Coturnix japonica: one gene and its partner. The protein of the gene in region 1 purifies or fractionates together with the protein of each later gene. This does not show direct contact. Links are inferred from orthologs where the notes say so. Each region holds a gene or a part of one and is shown on either strand. Other genes may lie near its edges. The genes, in order: SRSF11 and RNPS1.

Region 1 (8,988 bases):
TGCCACACGTACAAGAAACAAGCAGCCCAGCAGGAATTGTGAACATTGGTGCTCACAAAGGTGTCCCAGTGCTTTGTTTTAAGACAAATTGCCATTTTCACATAAGCACGCTGGGAAGACATTGAAAAAAGAAGAGAGGTTTAAGGAAGTATTGCAAAATGGACTGACTGCAACAACTGAGAGTGTTACAGCAGTAAGAGCCACGTAAAGTCAAGGCTTTGTGCTAGTAATTACCTGTGTCTAGATGAAGAAGGCGTCCTCCTCCTCCTTGAGCGCGATCTTGACCGTGAATGCCGCCTTTTCTCATCTTTTTTGTCTGGAGTTAAAAAGGAAAAGAATCATTTGGGTTTTGTTTTTTTTTAAAACTAGTAATATTTTAGGGCCCAAGAAAATGTTCTAAAGAAAACCAAGTTGGGCTTCACACTGTAGGTATGAAGACAATAACGAAGTTAAGCTGTAGCTCCCCTTTTTCTCAAAAGAACAAACATGTGACAAAGAGACATAAAAATCCACAAATTCACGTGCAAAACTCAAGAAGTCAAAATTCAGGACATTTTTAACACAAGCCACTTAGAGAAGGGCAGCTGGGAGGCAAGGAGAAGCTGTGCTACAATCCCTTCTGCTCGGCTATGAAGGCTAAGGAACCTCTCAGATTGCTTTCAATCTGTTCCAGGTTACTTCTCAGACTGACTGGATACAACATTTGTGCATGAACTGCTGCAACACTCCGGAATTCATACCTGCAAAACTAAACCACACAAAAAAGGGGGGAAAAACAAGAGTTATTTCACAGGTCGGGACTTAAAAGACAGGAAACAATTGCCAGGAGGAAACACAATAATCTGAGGTCAAGTCTCCTTGCATCTGCAGGACAACTGCAGCACAGACAGCTGTGCCATCAATTTGTTCACACTTGTGAATTATGAATTCAGCCACCAGGGAAGATGAAATCATTAAACTCAGAGCAGGCAGAGACGATGTCAAACCACCACCGTGAATGAAGGATTCTGCGACTGAGAATTACCTGGCTCGATAGCAGCAGAAATTAACGACTGTGCTTCTCGTACTCTTTTCATAGCTTCTTCTATTTCTTTACTGGAGGTATCTGATTTCAGGCTTGGTGAAACAAGACCTGCAGCTACGTGGTTCAGCCTGGAAAATAAAAACAGCAACTGACGTATTCAGTGTGTTCATATACCCAAAACACAGAAGCCTGCACTGCCAGTTTGCAGCCTGTCCAAAAATGACTGATCCAAATGAAGCACAACCTGCCTGCAGGTTGGCACCATTCAGGTAACAGAGAAACAGGTCTGCGATGAAAAATTCTACAGCGCAGCAAGTCTGGGATGGAGGCAGTGGTAGAAAGCTCTTAAAATTCCAGTTAGCTATAAGTAATGAGTTTGTATTGTCTCGTGTGGGTTTCTGATGATGCATCTCAGTACATTTTTGTACAGCTGTATTTCAGTTCTCACCACCTGAAAGATCAGCTACAACACATTACCTGGCAGAAAATCACTTTCCACTCTATAAGCCAGATTCAGAAGCCCACAGTGATGAAAATTAAGGTTCAGAAGTTCCATCCCAGAAGTTGCTTTAAAGCCAGCCAGGTGTACCACACACAATGCATCCCTTACCTACAATGACTACTTTGTTCACCTGGTTTAAAATAAAGAATCGCATGCCAAAGTAATACTAAAACTGAGGATAGAACACGCACAGCTTTGCCCACTGGGGTAGGTTGGACAGTTTTGACTTAAGTTAAAAGCAACCCTTCCCTATTGCTGTTCACGTGCCACGTTATTTTAGAGAAAGTCATTTTTTTTCTAACCACCGAAATAAAAATCAGCAAATATTTGTGTTCATCGTTATTTGTTTTTTCTTATCAAGTAACAAATCTGCTGGCTGTTATTACTTCTGAAGCTGTAACGTGCAGCCTGTTACTATGGCCATGTATAGTAATTGCTCACCTTGGCTCACTCGCAGCCCTTAATGCTCCCAAGGGCTCTGGCTGCAAGCTGCGCTATTACATTACAGACATGGGAGTGACCAAAATTACATACATGAAACTTTCTGTCTCTAGCAACATGAAATCTCAGAGATTCACCGGTTATTTTATACATACAATCATTATTATGGTTATTCCATAGATCAGAGCAGATAATCTTAGTTTCCTGTCCTCTCTTCCCAGCAGAGCAGACAGAATCAGCAGTGACCCCCACAACATGAAGTTTCTCCAACCTTAATTAGACCCCGTAGAACAAAGATGGGATTCTGAATCACTGACATCACTCTCCAAAATAAGTGTTCAATTACTTGTAAACAACAAAACTTACTTTGGATCCACTGTGCTCATCAGTTTGAGTAGCTGATCCGCTGCAAGAGACTGGGGGGGAGAAGGGGGGGAAGGGAAGGAAAAGAAGTTAAAATCATGTTGGAAGAGGCACATGCTTCAGATGCTCAGTGTACCAGTGGCAGTAACTAAAGCAGTCTCTGTCAAGGAAAACCCCCCCAGCAAGTTACAGACAAGAAGATACACCATCCTGTTTCAGAGCCTGCAGGTGGGGGTGGGGATGAGTTGCCTGTCAGCACATTTCAGGGATGCTGAAGCATTTTATTCTTTTTCCTCCCCAGGGACCAAACAGCCTCTCCTGGACAGACTCAAAGCACTTCCCAATGAAAATGAACGTACCTCTTGTATTTACAGATTAGTTCACTGTTACTTCAAGAACAGAGACTTACTTGGACACATGCCCTTCAGAAGTTCTCAGTGTCAACTTAAAAAACAAGCAAAGTTTCTTTACTCAAAGAATTGCAGAAAGTTCTTTTTACAGCTCTTCAGTAAATCCAGATATTGCCACCTCGGGCCACCTCCTGAAGCAGCAGTATGTTAACAAAGCAAAACCTTTTGTTTCCAGCAATCTCATGCACAGAGAGGCAGCCATTGCAGTCCAACTGGCTTAATGGACACAGGAGATTTTTAAATGCTTATTTTTCCTACTTTCATCTCCATATCAGCATTGTTTGCTTTTGCTCCCACACATGGCATGCATAAATAGAATGCTGGGTGAGGAATCTCCTTAGCACTGCGATAAATTAATGCTTCTTCCATCTACAGATTAAGCCCTCCCTGCAGTATATGGCTCTTATACCTCAGACATTAACTCAGTGTTCTACTCACTATTTCTCAGTATTTGAGCTCTTCCCCCCCCCAGTTTTACAAACCTACAATCAAACCAAGTCTTGGTGTTTCCTACAAGTACACAATTAAGGAGACAACCATCACTTTTTAACTGTTGATCTGCCATAAGAGATTCAGAGGCACTTAAGGCACTCCACTGTTAGTCTCCAACTATTTGTAGGTTCTTCTGGCATTAACTGAGAAGTGCTACAGAGAGCAACTATTCTGAAGAGTGCTCAGAAAAATCAGTCACGGGATTTTTAGTCAGCTGGACTGATATAACTGAGAACTGCTCTTCACTGGAGAAGAGGGCAACAAAAATAAAGAGCAAACTCCAGATCTTCAGCTCGTTATTTAATCCAGTGCTGAAACCTAAGAACAGCACCAGTCTTACCCATCAACACGTGTGGGACAACACAGAACGCTGTGACACACCTGAGAGTTTAAGTTTGCTCCAGGAAGCCCAAGAGCAGCAAGGGCAGGATCGAGAGCAGGAGCTCCGAGAGCAGCTAAAGGAACAGCACCAATCTGTAACAAAGACAGCAATGAGCCAAAGCAACATTCAACTGACAAAAACTGTTCAGAGTCTCCAAGCGTTCTGTAAGCATTCTAAAATGAGACTCTGCCAGGAGTTACCAGGAAAACTCACTCCAAGTTTCTAAGCCAGTGACCTCACCTTCTGTAACTTCCCCCAGGTTTCAAGGCTCAGCTCTACAGCTTCTGAACAGCTCAATACATCTTTCATATAGGAATAACACGAGTTACATGCAGGAGTGCTAAGCAGAAGCTGAAGAAGCAGATCTGAGATAGATCTGAGATATGCAGAGCTAATGAAGCCAGACTCTTACTGATTTGCCTCCTGCACTTTGATTCTGAGCTCTAATAAGATGTGTTTTGAACTTATATTTTTCTGTAACACACTTTTTTTGCCATTCATTTTCCACATGATTTTCTGTGTGTTTAAAGAGCAAATACACGCTGTAACTTTTCCCCCCCCTCAGCTGTAATATTACTGAAGTTATTTCTCCACAGCTCATCAATTTCTTGGCATTCAGGAATTTAGACTCTGTCTGTAAGATCCCTCCTCCTTGTCAGATCTGTTGGTAAGCATTCAATGGAGAGAAAAGGGATCTGAGGGGAAAGGCCGTAAGTGGCACAGCAGAAGTACTCCTCCTAACAACTCACCATCCTTCCAACAAAAACTGTATCAGAGGGCTGCAACAATACTATCCATGGAGGTATCCAAAGTACAACACTCCCTGCCTCAACATCAGCATGCCAGCAGGTTCCTCTGGAAACCAACCGACCGACCAAGCAGGAAGCAACTGAGCACCCAGCATTGGGTTCCCTTCATCCAGCCCAAGCAGAAAACCTACCTGAGAAAGTGGGTTGGGAGTAGGCAGGAGTCCACCTCCAGGCAGCAGACCTGCCACAGCATTGGCTGGTGCCAAGAGAGACAAAGCCTTAGTCTCATCAGGAATGACTCCTGCAGAGAAATAGCCTGGCATTAGAACGCATTCTTTTTCTAAAGCAGAAAATACACAAATACACCCAAGAAAATGTCTCCCTGATACACCACCTGAGTTTGTTGAAAGTACTTATGTTTGCTAAAATACAAAGCTTGATGGCTATTAATATTTATCATTAATTTTTTTTTTGTCAGAATGAAACTTCAATGCGTGAAAATTTGACTGTTCCTTTTTCTCTACAAATGGTTAAGTATCTAGAGCAAAAAAAAATAGCACAATACACACTACTGTTTTGTTAACACTGCCAAGATTTCATCACCTGTACTCGATTTTTAAGTCATGAACCAAACGTAAGCAAGCACAGTCGGTTCTCCAGGGGTGTGCTCTCAACTTTCAAAAGCTGTTTTATGAACAACGACTCGTGTCGGCTGCTTCACTACAAAGCACACAGAAAAATCAAGATACACAAGACAAAAAAAGTTTGATTTAGGGGTTAATAATACGGTACAGTTCACTATGTTTTCTTTTACACCTACCATAGCAAATTTGTAAAACTTAAAGAGAAGGTACGGAAATATTTTTTTGCTGAATCAAGCGTAGGGCTTTTGCTGACTTGTCAGATAAAAACGACAGACTCTGCAGGTCTTCCAATACAAGCTGTGTGTGTCTGCATACGTACAGTACGTCGTGGCACATTCCTTACCTGTGCAGTAAAATGCTTATGTTCCGATATGTGCCATGCTTATGTACCAAGAATGCTGCTACGGAAGAAACTTCTGGCCCCAAATCTTGCAGCCAACTAAGACAAGCGTCTTATTTACTGCCTGCTCTGCACAGATAATTTGAAGGGTCCTAGCGCAAAACAAGTACTTGTGTAGGTGTTTTTTACTTCTATCCAACAGCAAAAGCCCTATACAGATGGATTAATTTGTTAATGTGCCCAAGCCCCCAAAATGAGAGTTCAATAAAACAATTTTACTAAATATTTGCAAATACCAGTAGCGTTTCTGCAATACGTATTAAGAAACTGCATCTCATCATAAAACATACAATATGTACAGGGCACTTAAGAGAAACTGGATAAGCTGCAGAAGAAAACTGTTGGGTGGTATTTTCAGCAGGGCCTGGTATATAGTTCAGGCTGAACCAGGGAAAAGAACTGTAAAACACAACAACAAAAAAGAAAAACCACTGTTAAATAAAGGTAATGGTTCCTTCCACCTATACTGAGAAGTGCCGATAATATAAACAAATGTACAACACACAGCACTGTTATCTCGCTCGTGTCATTGAGCTGCCATCAATTTAGATACCAAAAGTTATGGAGGGAGAGGAGGGGAAAAAGGTCATTTAGATAAAGGGCATTAACGCATAAATATATTAACATACCTACAGAGAGATTACGGGGTAATTTTGCATGCAAAATTATGTCTGAGAGGATATTTATCAATTACAGCTAAACATTTCAAATTAGTGCAGCTACGACATTTCCGGCAGCTAAACGCAAACCCTCACTCATCTCCAGACACCTCACAGGAGATCTGCATTCATTAAAAAAAATCATGCATCTGATGCTCTACTCGTTTCTTTAAAAGGTATTTAGAAATAAATAAACTACAAGTGAAAAAAGCAATGAGGCCCCTCACCAGTTAATTTTCATGCTTCAAGAGCTTTTTTTACTGCTGCTTTGTTAGAACCATGAAATACTGTATGAATATGTAGAAATGAAAGAAAAAGAAACAGACAAAAGAAACAAACATTAACCAAAGAACCTAAATACCCCCCCAGCCACCTTTAATCTTAGAGCTCCTTCCAAATCTAGGAATATCACAGTGAAAATTACAATGAATACTAAACCTTACCGTAGACTTTGTGTATAGCTCTATAACACAAAGCAACAGCCAACACCAAAGTGTCTGTGTGTGCTAAACCTGGAGTGCACTTGTGATATATGGGATAATTATTGCGCTAGACAGATAATAAACATTCACTTTAGCGACAGGCAATAATAAAACAGAATTATCACAGCAGAAAACAAGAGAGGTGAGGGCCCAGTTCAGCACAGTAATTAAGCATCTGCCTGACTTTAAGCACATGAACAAATTCACTGCGGTTTTAAGAATCTCGCTGTACGGTGCTTAAGTAACTTGTTGAATTGGGACCCCGGCAGCACGAAATTAGAGGTAAGGATGCTCCCATACAGGGACCAGGGGCAGAGCTTCATTGGCTGAACACGTGGCTGGGGATAGGCCACATCATTATGACAGAACTGTTCACACTCTGAATCACTGTAATACCATAAGAAACAGCCCATAAGGAACTCTGTGACTTAAACAGGCCCATTAAAATACAATGATGTCATTAACATTATCTTTAGACAATCTGAACTGAAACCACTGGGCAGAGTTTTTATGCACCAGTTTTATCCAGAATGGACAAGTCAGACTGACAAAGAATATTCTTTTAATCCTTATTGGAAAAACTAAACACTGACATCTGTCAGCATGGGCCTCGGAGAATGTTTCAGTATTGACTGATGGACTGTTACTATGTCATGCTTTAATATAAGGAGGAGAATAAGATGCCTTTCCACTACCCTGTAATAACTGCAGTAGGGAAAGGGGAAGCAGTAACTCCACATTTCTGAACGTGCTCTGTAGTCCCCCCACAGCAGCATGTCCCAGTCAAAGGTCACGCTGCAGATTCCTACCTTCCAGAAATTAAGTTTCCATATCTCTTAAACTGCAGGAATACAAAGATAAGACAGTTCCCCAGGCTTCCAAAGACATCCTTGTAGCATTATAATGTCTTAATAAAAGGTCTGAACCCAGACCACGCACCAAATTCGTTATTGTAGTATGACTTCATCTGCAGGGGTGGTACTTAATTCAAGCCATTTGGGAAAACCCATCATTTCAGAAGTAAATCAGTACAAGAAAACAGTACAATGGAAATCAATTACTTCTAAAGCAAGTCTAGAAGAGTTTAATAAGACTTCTGCAAGAAGAGGTGTCTTCTCAGCACAGTTTTTAAGTTCCAAAAACCCTGCTCATTGCCTTTCAAATTACTGTAACACCCTAAAATGTAAAAATAAAAAGAAGAAGAGAAAATGTAGTTAACAAGTGGTTACACCAGGAAAACACTTGGGGACTTGAGTGCTTGCTGGCCTTTAGTTAATGTCTAGAATCCCCTGTAGCTGCAGAGGACCCACTGTTTTTCAGTCATCAGGAAGGGCTTTGCATTTGCCTTCTCCACTACAAAAATCACACACACAAATAACAGAGAGAAGAGTTTATTATTTAGTGAAATTCTATTAAAATAAAGCATGGCTGAACAAGAAAACTTGGAATAACTGCTAGTACCAGTGCCCATCTGGCACCTCTTGGAAGAGCTCACTTTCAAATTACATCTACTGAAACCCTTGGTATACTGGAGTTCACAATGAGAGTGAATGAATGGCTTTTCAGGGAAGCTCCCCACTGAGTGCAAGGCAGCGAATATCAAAGAGGCGTTAACCTACTCTCCCGTGTGCTCTCAGGGAGGGAGAAACCATTCTCATGAAGAGATTCATGCACACGTGAATGATGTAAATGCTACTTAAGGGAAAATTTCCTTACAGCATTGACCTGTTTGCAGAGCTCCATTTAAGAAAATGTCTCACTGACATCAATAAAGAGCATAATTTGCAAGTAACTCTGCCTAAACTGCTAATATTCTAAACTTAAGAAACACAAAAGCAGTAAGAGGTAAGCTTCCCATTTTCATTCAGCATCACTAAATAAAAGCAGTACTTAATCCAAGAGCCAATTGCAATATACCAAGGGTTTTTAAATGTTAATAGTCATACGTTTGACATCTTACTAATGCTCATTTTTGTGAACTACATTGGAATAAAATGTCATCATATGCTGGCTGCATAGACCATTAAACAATTCACAAACCTTCTGCATATGGAACCACTATCAAGGCTCTGTCAACGAACACAGTGTTTGTCAGGTGCTGGGCCACAACCGCCGAGTCGGGCTCGTGGAACTTTACAAAACACACACGTGATGACACGGGCAAGGGAGAATCACTGGAAAAGAAGGAGAAATTAATGAGATGCAACAAAATCAGACGCGATGAGACGTTATGGCTCCCTGTGTTGCCTTTCACCAAACCACAAAGTCAAGAAATTACGAGTGAAGACACTCTCCTATAAAATTACAGAAATAATTCGACTGCCTTGTTTGCAACTGAAGATGAATTCCATCATGCAGGGTATAGCTACGGCCAGTTGCCTAAATGCAGATTAGTTTTCATCACTTATCTGTAAGAGAAGAAGGAGACAAATGCTTTATT
Region 2 (9,479 bases), on another chromosome or scaffold:
AGTCCAGCCTCACTCTCTCTCCTTCTGTTCCCCAACAGCTCCGGTTTCCATGGCGTGTGGTGGCAGCTTGCAGAACTTAGCAGCATTGCAGCCTTCCTGGAGGAGACCTGGAGTGAATCAAGGGGTTTGGTGGGGGAGGGAGGGGTCAGGGCATCTTTATGGCATACCCGGGTGAGGGGAGGAGGAATACTCAACATTGCAGTTCCACTTTAGATAGGGCAAAGAGCTTGCCCTGTGCTGAGGCCAGGTCAGGTACGTTTGTTGTTTCTTGAGAATAAACACTCCATCTTGTTTGTAGAGCTGCAGTGTTGATCTAATCAGGAATTCACTGGCAGCATCCAGCACAGCTGCTGGGGCTGGCAGGCATTGCCCTGCACCAAGAGAAAAAAGCAATGCCTAAAAACAGAAGGCAGAATCTCAAGAAGCACCAAATGATTTGGCCTGGCCAGTTTCTTTTTGACTTAGGCACTGCAATAAGTGCCTGTTTCGGGTACCTTGCAGAATGCAAAGCTATTCCAGGACCTGAGGACATCGATAGCTGGCAGCTGCCTGGCTTGACCCTTCTGGCTGAACTGAGATGGGGTTTGCACACACACTGACACCGGGGGCTGGCAGCACGTAGCTCCATCAGGGGGTGCCGGGCAGAAGCTGTTGCCTGCTGCTTCAGTTCAATATCTGCAGATTCAGAGAGGAGCCAGTGAGTGTTGGGGCTTTGGAGGGTTTTCCCTCTCCAAAGCCCTCTCCCATATGGCAGAACTTGAAAGTCAGAGAAGTTGGATGTGACCAGTGACACTGGGAGACAATGACAGAGGCTCAGTGGGGAAGAAGAGTAAACAGTAGGTAGAAATGCTTTGGGTGCTGATCTGTAACCCACTAAACCCCATCCACTGGCTTTTCAGTCCCTTCTTTGCAATGTAAAGGCTGCCCCGAAGGCCTTGCAGCGCTCCCTCATCTGCTGCGAGTGCTTAACATCCTTGTGCTTCAGTCCCTGTGATATTTAGTAATTTAGTCTGCCAGGAAAAATAGAAAAAAACACCCCTACAGATCTCACAGTTGACAGCCATTCCAGCCAGCAATGGGGGAAGGAAAAAAGCTGAAGTGGACAAATAGTGAGGATTTCCTCGGGATTCATCTAGAATGGATGCAGATGAGCAGCATAAAGGTGCTGGAAATAGCCTCTAAGCAGACAATGGCTGCCAGGGTCGCCCTGTGAGTGGTGCTGCCCTTCCAGGCAGACTCCTGGCAGCACACACAGCCTGCAGCTCCTGTAGCTCTGCCCCAGCTCACCCAGTCTTCCTAAGGCCCAACATTTAATCCTAAGGGTGGGAAGCGTGTCCTCACTGGGGCTGCAAACTCCAGCCTGAATACTTCACCTTGCCCCTCGGATGAGCACATAACCCCTCACCCAAGCAGCAAATGCCTGACATCTCTCAGCCTACAAGGGACAGGCCAGCAGCCCTGAAAGCGCTTTGCTGGAAGCAGCACGGAAGTCTCCAGCTTCAGGAGGGCAGTGCATGTTAGACTTGCTTGCGGAAGTAGCTTTAGAAGCAGCACACGCAGCAGCCTGCGCTGTAGAAGTAGCAGTAAAATGAAAAGATCCTGTGAACACAGGGAGGAGCTCAGAGATGCCTCTGCTGCAGCACATACACGGCTGAGCACAGCTCAGCACAGCTGGGTGCTGGCACAGGCTGGGGACAGCCAACAACCTCACACCTCCCATGGCCATCCAGGCACCGGCAGTTGGGTACCCTGGCCTTGCTTCAGGGTGCCTGGAAGTCTTCCCAAGGCAGCCTCCAGCAGCACGTGTCTGTGTGCACAGCAGAGTCAGCCCGTTCCTTGTATGAACCATGCGTGATCGGAGCAAAACCAATAAACACTGAGCTCTTAGTGCCTCCTGCCTGCTGGAACTGCTGACCTGAGCCTCTGTGCTTCACCTCCCCACGTCCCCTCCCACTCATTCCATGTCCCTGGTGGCACCTTGGCCGCCTCCACGCAGCCTTGGCTGCGCACAGTGCCCATGTCACCAGTGGGACGTGGTGCAGTGTCTGTCACCTCAGCCATGATGTGGAATTACCAACAGCAACAAGTACAAAACCACGACACCCCCCAAAGCAGTGGGAGCTCAAAGCTTTCCCCTCGTGCTGTGGCCCATTAAACATCATTAACTATGAGCGTAAATCCGCTTCTCCCACCCCAGTGTCATCCCCAGAAGCGCTGGCACTTGGTCTGCTGTCCCATGCAGCATCTCAGCTGAACCTCCATCTGTTGTATTCTCTGGGGGGCTGGTGGCCATTCCAAAGCTGCACCCACACCCACTGAGATCTTATTTCCTTTAAGAGCCAGTTCAGCCCTTGCTGTGCTCTGCTGGAGCAATAGGGAAAGGCTCACGTCCAGCTGCTGACACTGAGAGCCAGCTATGCATTGGGAAGGTCACCATTCGTCAGGAGCCATCACGGACATGATGAGGCGGACATGGCGGTGCCCATAACGGCACGGGCCGCCCACAGACCGTGACAGCAGGACAACATGGATCCCCTGCCCGGCCCCTTTAAGGCGCCCACCTCCCCTCCTCCCCCCTGGTGACGTCATCACTGCTCGCCACACGTTCGCTCTTCCCGCTCGTTCTGCGCCAATCGCGCGCGCCGGGCCCGGAGCGCTGAGAGCGCCGAGGATGTGAGTGTGTTGGGGCTGAGCGCCGTGCGGCCATCGGCCGCCATCGGCCTTTCATCCGCCTCCATCCGCCTCCATCCGCCCCGCCGCCGCTTCGGGGCGGCACCGCCGCATCTCGGGGCTGCCCAGGGGAGCGGGCGGGAGCCGACGGAGGGGATATGGATGGACGCGGGGGATAGGGATGGCGCCGCGGCCTACCGGGGGCGGGGAGGAAGGCGGGAGGCCGGGCCGGGGCGGAGCCGGGGCTGAGGCCTGCAGCGGAGTTGGGGCCTGGTGGTCCCGGCGCCCGGCAGCGGCAGAGCAGCGAGTCGGGAGCGACCCGCGGGTCTCGCTGTGCCCGGCGTCGTTCCGCAGCCTGAGAGCGGCTGAGCCCCGGCCGCTCTGGGCCCCGCGCTGCCATGAGCTGGGCCGGGGGCGTTGAGAGGAGCTGCCGAGCGGGCTGACCTTAAATCACGCGAGGAAAACTTTGCTATAGTTGTTGTTCATATAACTATAAACAAGCTGCCGTTGCAGGGCGCGCCTGCCCTGCAGGAAGGCTGAGGGAGAGCCCAGGTCGTTGCCTTGGCTGCAGCTCTCTGTAAGAATAGGTCTCATAGCTGACTGTGTGCAGGGAATGGGCAGCTTAATAGAGTGCCCCGAGGCCGGCTGGGCTGGGCTGGGTGCTGCACAGACACTGAGATGTTGGGGATGTCGGGTTTGGTTTCCATTCTTGGAAGGGTGGATGTTGCTTAGAAGTTCCTTGTGTTGTTTTAATGTGCTCATGCTGCGGTGTTATTCTTTATGGAGGTGTGTTTTAGTGAATGCCTGAGCACCTACAAGTGAAAGTGCCCAGAGGCTGCATCTCCCAGGCTGATCTTTCCAACTAAAACTGTCCTGGGAAAGGTCTGTGTTCATTGGGTGAAAGAAGAACACTGGTTACCTTAAGGGCTGCCTAAAAGCAGCCTTTCACAGGAGGTTGCTGGATGTGTAAGCAGCATTTGGCTGTTTAGTCTGGTAAGTGCCAGCCCTGTGGGTGCACACAGGAGTGCTGCTGATGGTGCTGTTTACATGCAGCTCTTCCCAGCTCTCCAGCAGCAGGCAGGACATTAGCAAAGCACTTGTTGGGCTTCTGAGCTCTCACTTCCCATCTTGCAGAGAGGTGGAACTGGGTGATCATTAGAGTATGTGATAGATGCAGCCCTCTCATAGGAAATGTTTGGAATTGAGCTGTCAGAGTTCAGGTTTTACATGTAAACAGTTAATAGTTACACATGCAGCACACTGGCACACACGTTCATTCTCTTCCAATAACTCATTAATGTATGTTCGTGTTCCTCTGGGCATGCACAGTTACACTGAGGGTGGTTGCTGGTTGTATGCCCACTTACTTTGTCCCCATTTTTCCACCATCAGTTCCATCACTGACATTTTTGATTCACCTGGAGCTGGTTTTCCCCAATTTTGCAAACGTCCATTGCTTCTTAGGCCATAATGGGCAACTTCCAAAACAACGTGTGTGGAAATCCAAGGAAAGCGTCCTTGCCCCTGGTGAAATACAATGACCAGTGGTCTGTCGTGACTCCAGTGCTGCTTATGAAGGGGAATTGAGAGAAAACAAGGCTGATCACACACCAGGCAAAGCAGAAGTGGAGAGTTTTAGGACTAGTGCTCATTGATTCCTTTTGCTGAATTAATATATTGCTCCTCAAACTAATATACTGATCTCTGTTGCTCAATGAACCAGCCTATATTGTTACTCAGCAGCCATCTCTTCCTGCCAAGCATGTGCTTTGCTGCACAGGGTGACTATGGAAGAAACCAGAGCTTCCTCTGGAGATGAGGATGTTGTCAAGAGGCAGGAGCTGCATGTGTGCCGTGTGTAGGAGATGAATGTCCTCTGTGTGCCTTCAAGGGGAGCACATAGCGAGGGTCTTTTGTACTTCTGTGAATATCACAATTTGTAACTTTAAACACGCATACAGGTCTGTATTCCATGAAGGTTGAGCTGGCCCAGGGGCTGGATGTAACTGCCATGCAGTGCTGTGCCTGGCTGCAGTGCCCTGGAGAACACACTTGTCCTCTGGTGTGCTGCCACTGGTGCACAGCAGCTCTGCTCTTCTGTGTCTGTTCATCTTGTTTCTGAACACTCTTACCTTGTCACTTGGCTGCTCTGTTGCTTTCAATTAGGGGTCACTTCTCAGAAGCAAGGGGTTAGAACTGAGATTTGGCACAAGTGAGGCCTGTTTTGCTTTGGATACCTCTGAAGGGGAAACAGAGTTAATGGGAATTAAAAAGAAGAGTTTGCTGGGTCTTAAAGAAAATAACAAAAAATCCAGCACTAGGTAATCATTCCAGATTTTCAAGGCCTGCTGGAAGCGGGGATGCTGTAGGGTACTGGGGCTTTCCCAGTGAGGGTAAGGAGTTGAAAATATCTCTGTGGGTGAACTTACACATGACAGTAAGTTCTGTGTGCTGGACCTGCTGTCCGCAAAGCTGCTACTCTGCAATGTAACACATTTTCCTTTTTCCTAAAAAGCTCGAACTTACCTAATGCTTTAACTCTGCTCTTTTGGTGTCTTCAATTACATTTAAAGTTCAGTGTTTTGTGTTGCTGTTCTGTTCCTTGTTTGAGTGTGTTTTCCATATTAAACAATCCCTTCTGCCATGTATTCTTGAAGGGCTCCCTCACCAACCAAACGCAAGGATAGGTCTGAAGAGAAATCAAAGGACCGATCCAAGGACAAAGCAGCCACTAAGGAATCGGGTGAAAAGGATCGTGGTCGGGACAAGACGCGCAAAAGGCGCAGTGCTTCCAGTGGGAGTAGCAGCACCAGGTAGCTACCATTACAGGCAGTAACAAATACATGTTTTCAGAGCCACCTTTTGCTGACTTCCACACGGCTCAGATTTACACAACCTTTGAATTGCATTGGTCACAATGGAAAGATTAAAGGAAGGGGTTTTGACCGTTGTGAAGTATGGTGGAATTAGTGAGCTATGGAGAGTCGGTTTTCATTGCTGTAACTTGCAGTTGCTTTCTGTCTACCAGGAGAAGAGCTTCAGCCATTCTTTTTCTGGGTATTCCACTCATGTTTTGCTTCCTTTACCAGGTCCCGCTCCAGCTCCACTTCCAGCTCAGGATCCAGTTCCAGCACTGGTTCCAGCAGTGGCTCGAGCTCCTCTTCTGCCTCAAGCCGCTCTGGGAGCTCCAGCACCTCACGCAGTTCAAGTTCCAGCAGCTCCTCTGGATCCCCCAGTCCGTCCCGACGGAGACATGACAACAGGAGGCGGTCCCGCTCCAAGTGAGTTCATGTTGTCTTTAGGAATTCCTACAGAGCAGGTTCCTTGTGCAATACAAGGTTGTGATCAAACAGATTTTTACCAAGGATGGTCTGCATTCTCCGTAACTTAGAGATGTGAATTTTGTTAGAACAGGCATGTTTCTATTAATGGCAGTCAAAATGGATGCCAGCTTCTAGTTCTTGTCGTCTTGTTTCCCCTGAAAACTGTGAATGTTTTCATGTCCAAATCAGGTCCAAGCCACCGAAGAGAGATGAAAAGGAGCGGAAGCGGCGCAGCCCATCACCCAGACCTACAAAAGTGCACGTTGGGAGGCTCACTAGAAACGTCACCAAGGTAATGGCATGTTCTCCTGTAATGCCACGCAGGTGCACCCCTGTGGGCGTGTGTTGGTGGCTTTTTTTAAAGCCTTCAAGGTTTGTTTTGTTGCTGGTGTACTGCCAGCACATTGCTGTTGGAAATGCTTGCTTTGTGTCCAAACTGATGAGCGTGGAATGCTTCAGTAGAACTTCCTCAAGTCAAATTAACTGTGGGCTTGTGTAATTCAGTAGTGTTAAAAGTTCTGTCTGCCTTATTGGTACCCGAGAGCTCCACCTTCCTAGGAAGAAAGCTGTAGAAGTCAGTACAGCAGTAGAAATCACCTGGGAGGCATTAAGGACACCTGGGGGGTTCACCAAAAGGAGCTTCAGGAGAGCTGGACTGGCTGGAGTTGTCTTTGCTAGAATGTAGTTTAAAGGTCTGCAGAAATACAAGTTTAGGGTGCTGAAAAAATGCTATTTAAAAACACAATATTAAGAATTGCACCTTAAGACTTTCTAAGTGAGGACACAACTTCACTTTCCTAAGGTCCCCAGGAAGGTTTTTACACTAGTGCAGCTTTTGTAGCCTGTGGTGGTGTTCAGCCAGTAATTCTGTTAAGGATTAGAGTGATCTGAAGTGAAACAGACATAGATGTCAGTAGAGGATGTGGTAATCTCAGTGTCCTTTCCACACCTGATCAGTGGAATATATCTCCTGCAGGTGGCATTGATTCAAAGCTGATGTGGTGCTGTGTGCTCTGTACCAGCCAGAGCTGCTCAGTGATAGTGCTGTACATCCTTAAGTTCTGCTCTTTTTTGGCAGGATCACATCATGGAAATTTTTTCCACTTATGGAAAGATTAAAATGATTGACATGCCAGTTGACAGGCTAAATCCACACCTCTCTAAAGGCTACGCTTATGTGGAGTTTGAGAACCCAGATGATGCTGAGAAAGCCCTGAAACACATGGATGGAGGTAGGTGTCAAATGCTGCAAGGAGGCTGAGTGCTTTGAAAGAAGTTTTTGGATTTGATGTGAAAATGAGATGGAGATGATGGGCTGCCTTTTGGGGAACTGATCTGACGTGCTGTCATTCTGTTTTCAGCCCAGAGGGGCTTTTGTATGGTCTCAGGACAGGTTGAAAAGAAAATACAGAACTATTAAAATGATAGTTTTGTTTTTTTTTTCCAAACAAAATATCATTTAAATCTTTGTGAAAATCCTTCCTGATCCATGTCTGGTGGGATACTTGGTGAAGAAGTCTGGTGTGTGTGTGGTTTGGTCAGTATAACTTCAGAGTGTAGTGGAAATAGGAGCACGGGGTCGTGCTGCTTGTGTCAGAGCTGTGAATCGCTGTCACTTGGTTTGTTGGTGCTGGCAAACACTAACTTTATTTTTGTGACTTTCTGAACAGGGCAGATCGATGGGCAGGAGATCACTGCCACAGCTGTACTGGCACCACGGCCCAGACCGCCGCCTCGGCGCTTCAGCCCCCCCAGGAGGATGCTGCCCCCACCCCCCATGTGGCGCAGGTCACCCCCTCGCATGAGGAGAAGGTGAGAGCTGTGGCATTTCTTATTTCCTTCTTGTTGTAACAAGAATTTGTCATGAAGTCCCAGTGCCAGGACAGCTTCGTCTCATTGGAGTTGATTGTCCACTCCAAATGACAGTTCAAAACAAAGCAGTCACCTTCTGGGTGTCAGTTGAACTCAGATTGTTCTTAATATTCCATTCCTGGGACCTTGGTGTCACACTGGTGGCTGTACAGACTAATTGTAGCACTTTATCTTTAGAGCTGAGCTTCCTGTGAGAAGTGTCTGTGGTGCTGTGTGAGCTGTGTCAATACTGAACAATATTTCAGGAGCCAAAGTCTCAGATGAACCTTTCAGATCGAGGAGAGTCTGACTTAGAACAAACTTGTTTGTTTTGTGTGAAGCAGAAAATAAGATTCTTGTCTATTCTTTGGATATGAAGCAGCCTTTCAAGCTGTGAAGCAGAGGGTGGTAGCTAGAAAATCCCTGCTGGGATCTTGCTGTTTAAGTTGCCCTTTTGCTTCCTGCGGTTTGCTGTCTGTCGGATCTTTCACAGTGGTTTATAAGGGGGCGAAAGGAATCAATGAGCAGAGGTGGCAGGTGAGGTGACCTTCCTGGAGCTGCTCCCTGTGCCCTGACAGGAACTTTCTCCTCCTCCTGCCAGGTCTCGCTCCCCGCGCCGCAGGTCTCCTGTTCGCCGGCGCTCGCGGTCCAGGTCTCCGGGACGAAGGCGCCACCGCAGCCGCTCCAGCTCCAACTCGTCACGATAAAGCAAAAAAAGAATGGACAGCTTTTTATTTTTTAACTTAAATTCCGCGAAAATAAATATTGTACCTTTTTTATAATGGGTCTAGGAGAGGAAGGGAGAGAGGGGGAGAGAGAGGATGCAGTGGAGGTAACAGAGAGGAGACGGCAGCAGCTCCCGGCCATTGGGCAGCCTCTGCTGCGGGGCTTGGAAGTTTCCTGGCATTGAATTGGCATTATTGACAAACAGCCTCGATTTTTATGTTTTAGTTTTGTTTTTTCCCGGCTATAAACCCACCGTGTCCTGTGCTGGTTGTGCGGGGCTGCTCTGGCCCCTTTGTCCAGTGAGTTCACAATGCTTTGTGTGCTGTAAGGGTGAGCGTATCGATCTCGAGCTGTTTGGAAACGCTGCAGAACGGGACAGGGAGCCTCAGGGCTGGGACTGAGCGGCTCGAACAGATCACAAACCTGATCACAGACCTGATCCTTGAGCTGCTGCTTTATTCCCAGTCCCAAATAATGAGTCGTTTGTGCCCATTGATGTCCTGCAGTGCTCCTGGTTGATGCTGCACCCTGCTGAACGCTGCGAATCTTACCAGCGGGTTTGTAGCTGCTGCCCCACTCGGTCCCATAAGGAAACAATGCGATTGTTCTGCTTTACAAATCCCATTAGCAACTGATGGGCAACCACTGCAAGGCAGAGGGGGGGCTTGAGGCCGTGCTGCTGCCTGGGGAAAGGCAGAGAACCAACCACCTGTTGTACAGTCGATCCTATAAAGTCTTTTTGTTGTTTTTTCTTTATTTTCGTGTCGTTTTGTATGACTTTGTAGCCTTCGGGGCCGCGTTGTGTTTGTACTTGTGTAGGACGAGCGACTCGAATAAAGCAGTAGGGTTGAGAAATCGGGGCTCCTGCGCCTTTAAGAGCACAGTGGGCGGGGCTTCTTGCGGCTCCGC

The links.
Region 2: the proteins of SRSF11 (region 1) and RNPS1 purify together in Homo sapiens (co-immunoprecipitation; 4 studies listed by BioGRID and IntAct, with this or other methods). This does not show direct contact. The link is inferred for Coturnix japonica from reciprocal best matches to the Homo sapiens genes SRSF11 and RNPS1.

The regions. Positions count from the first base shown.
Region 1 is NC_029523.1:26,137,735-26,146,722, reverse strand, and holds part of SRSF11 (serine/arginine-rich splicing factor 11), read right to left. Parts: intron 8,723-8,988; coding exon 8,589-8,722; exon of another isoform or gene 4,687-8,588; coding exon of another isoform or gene 4,665-4,686; coding exon 4,555-4,664; intron 3,707-4,554; coding exon 3,614-3,706; intron 2,384-3,613; coding exon 2,334-2,383; intron 1,153-2,333; coding exon 1,025-1,152; intron 317-1,024; coding exon 235-316; intron 1-234. UniProt on the Homo sapiens protein: May function in pre-mRNA splicing.
Region 2 is NC_029529.1:12,005,958-12,015,436, reverse strand, and holds RNPS1 (RNA-binding protein with serine-rich domain 1), read left to right. Parts: upstream 1-2,488; 5' UTR 2,489-2,671; coding exon 2,672-2,673; intron 2,674-5,327; coding exon 5,328-5,483; intron 5,484-5,759; coding exon 5,760-5,951; intron 5,952-6,182; coding exon 6,183-6,285; intron 6,286-7,071; coding exon 7,072-7,225; intron 7,226-7,663; coding exon 7,664-7,805; intron 7,806-8,445; coding exon 8,446-8,551; 3' UTR 8,552-8,979; downstream 8,980-9,479. UniProt on the Homo sapiens protein: Part of pre- and post-splicing multiprotein mRNP complexes. Auxiliary component of the splicing-dependent multiprotein exon junction complex (EJC) deposited at splice junction on mRNAs.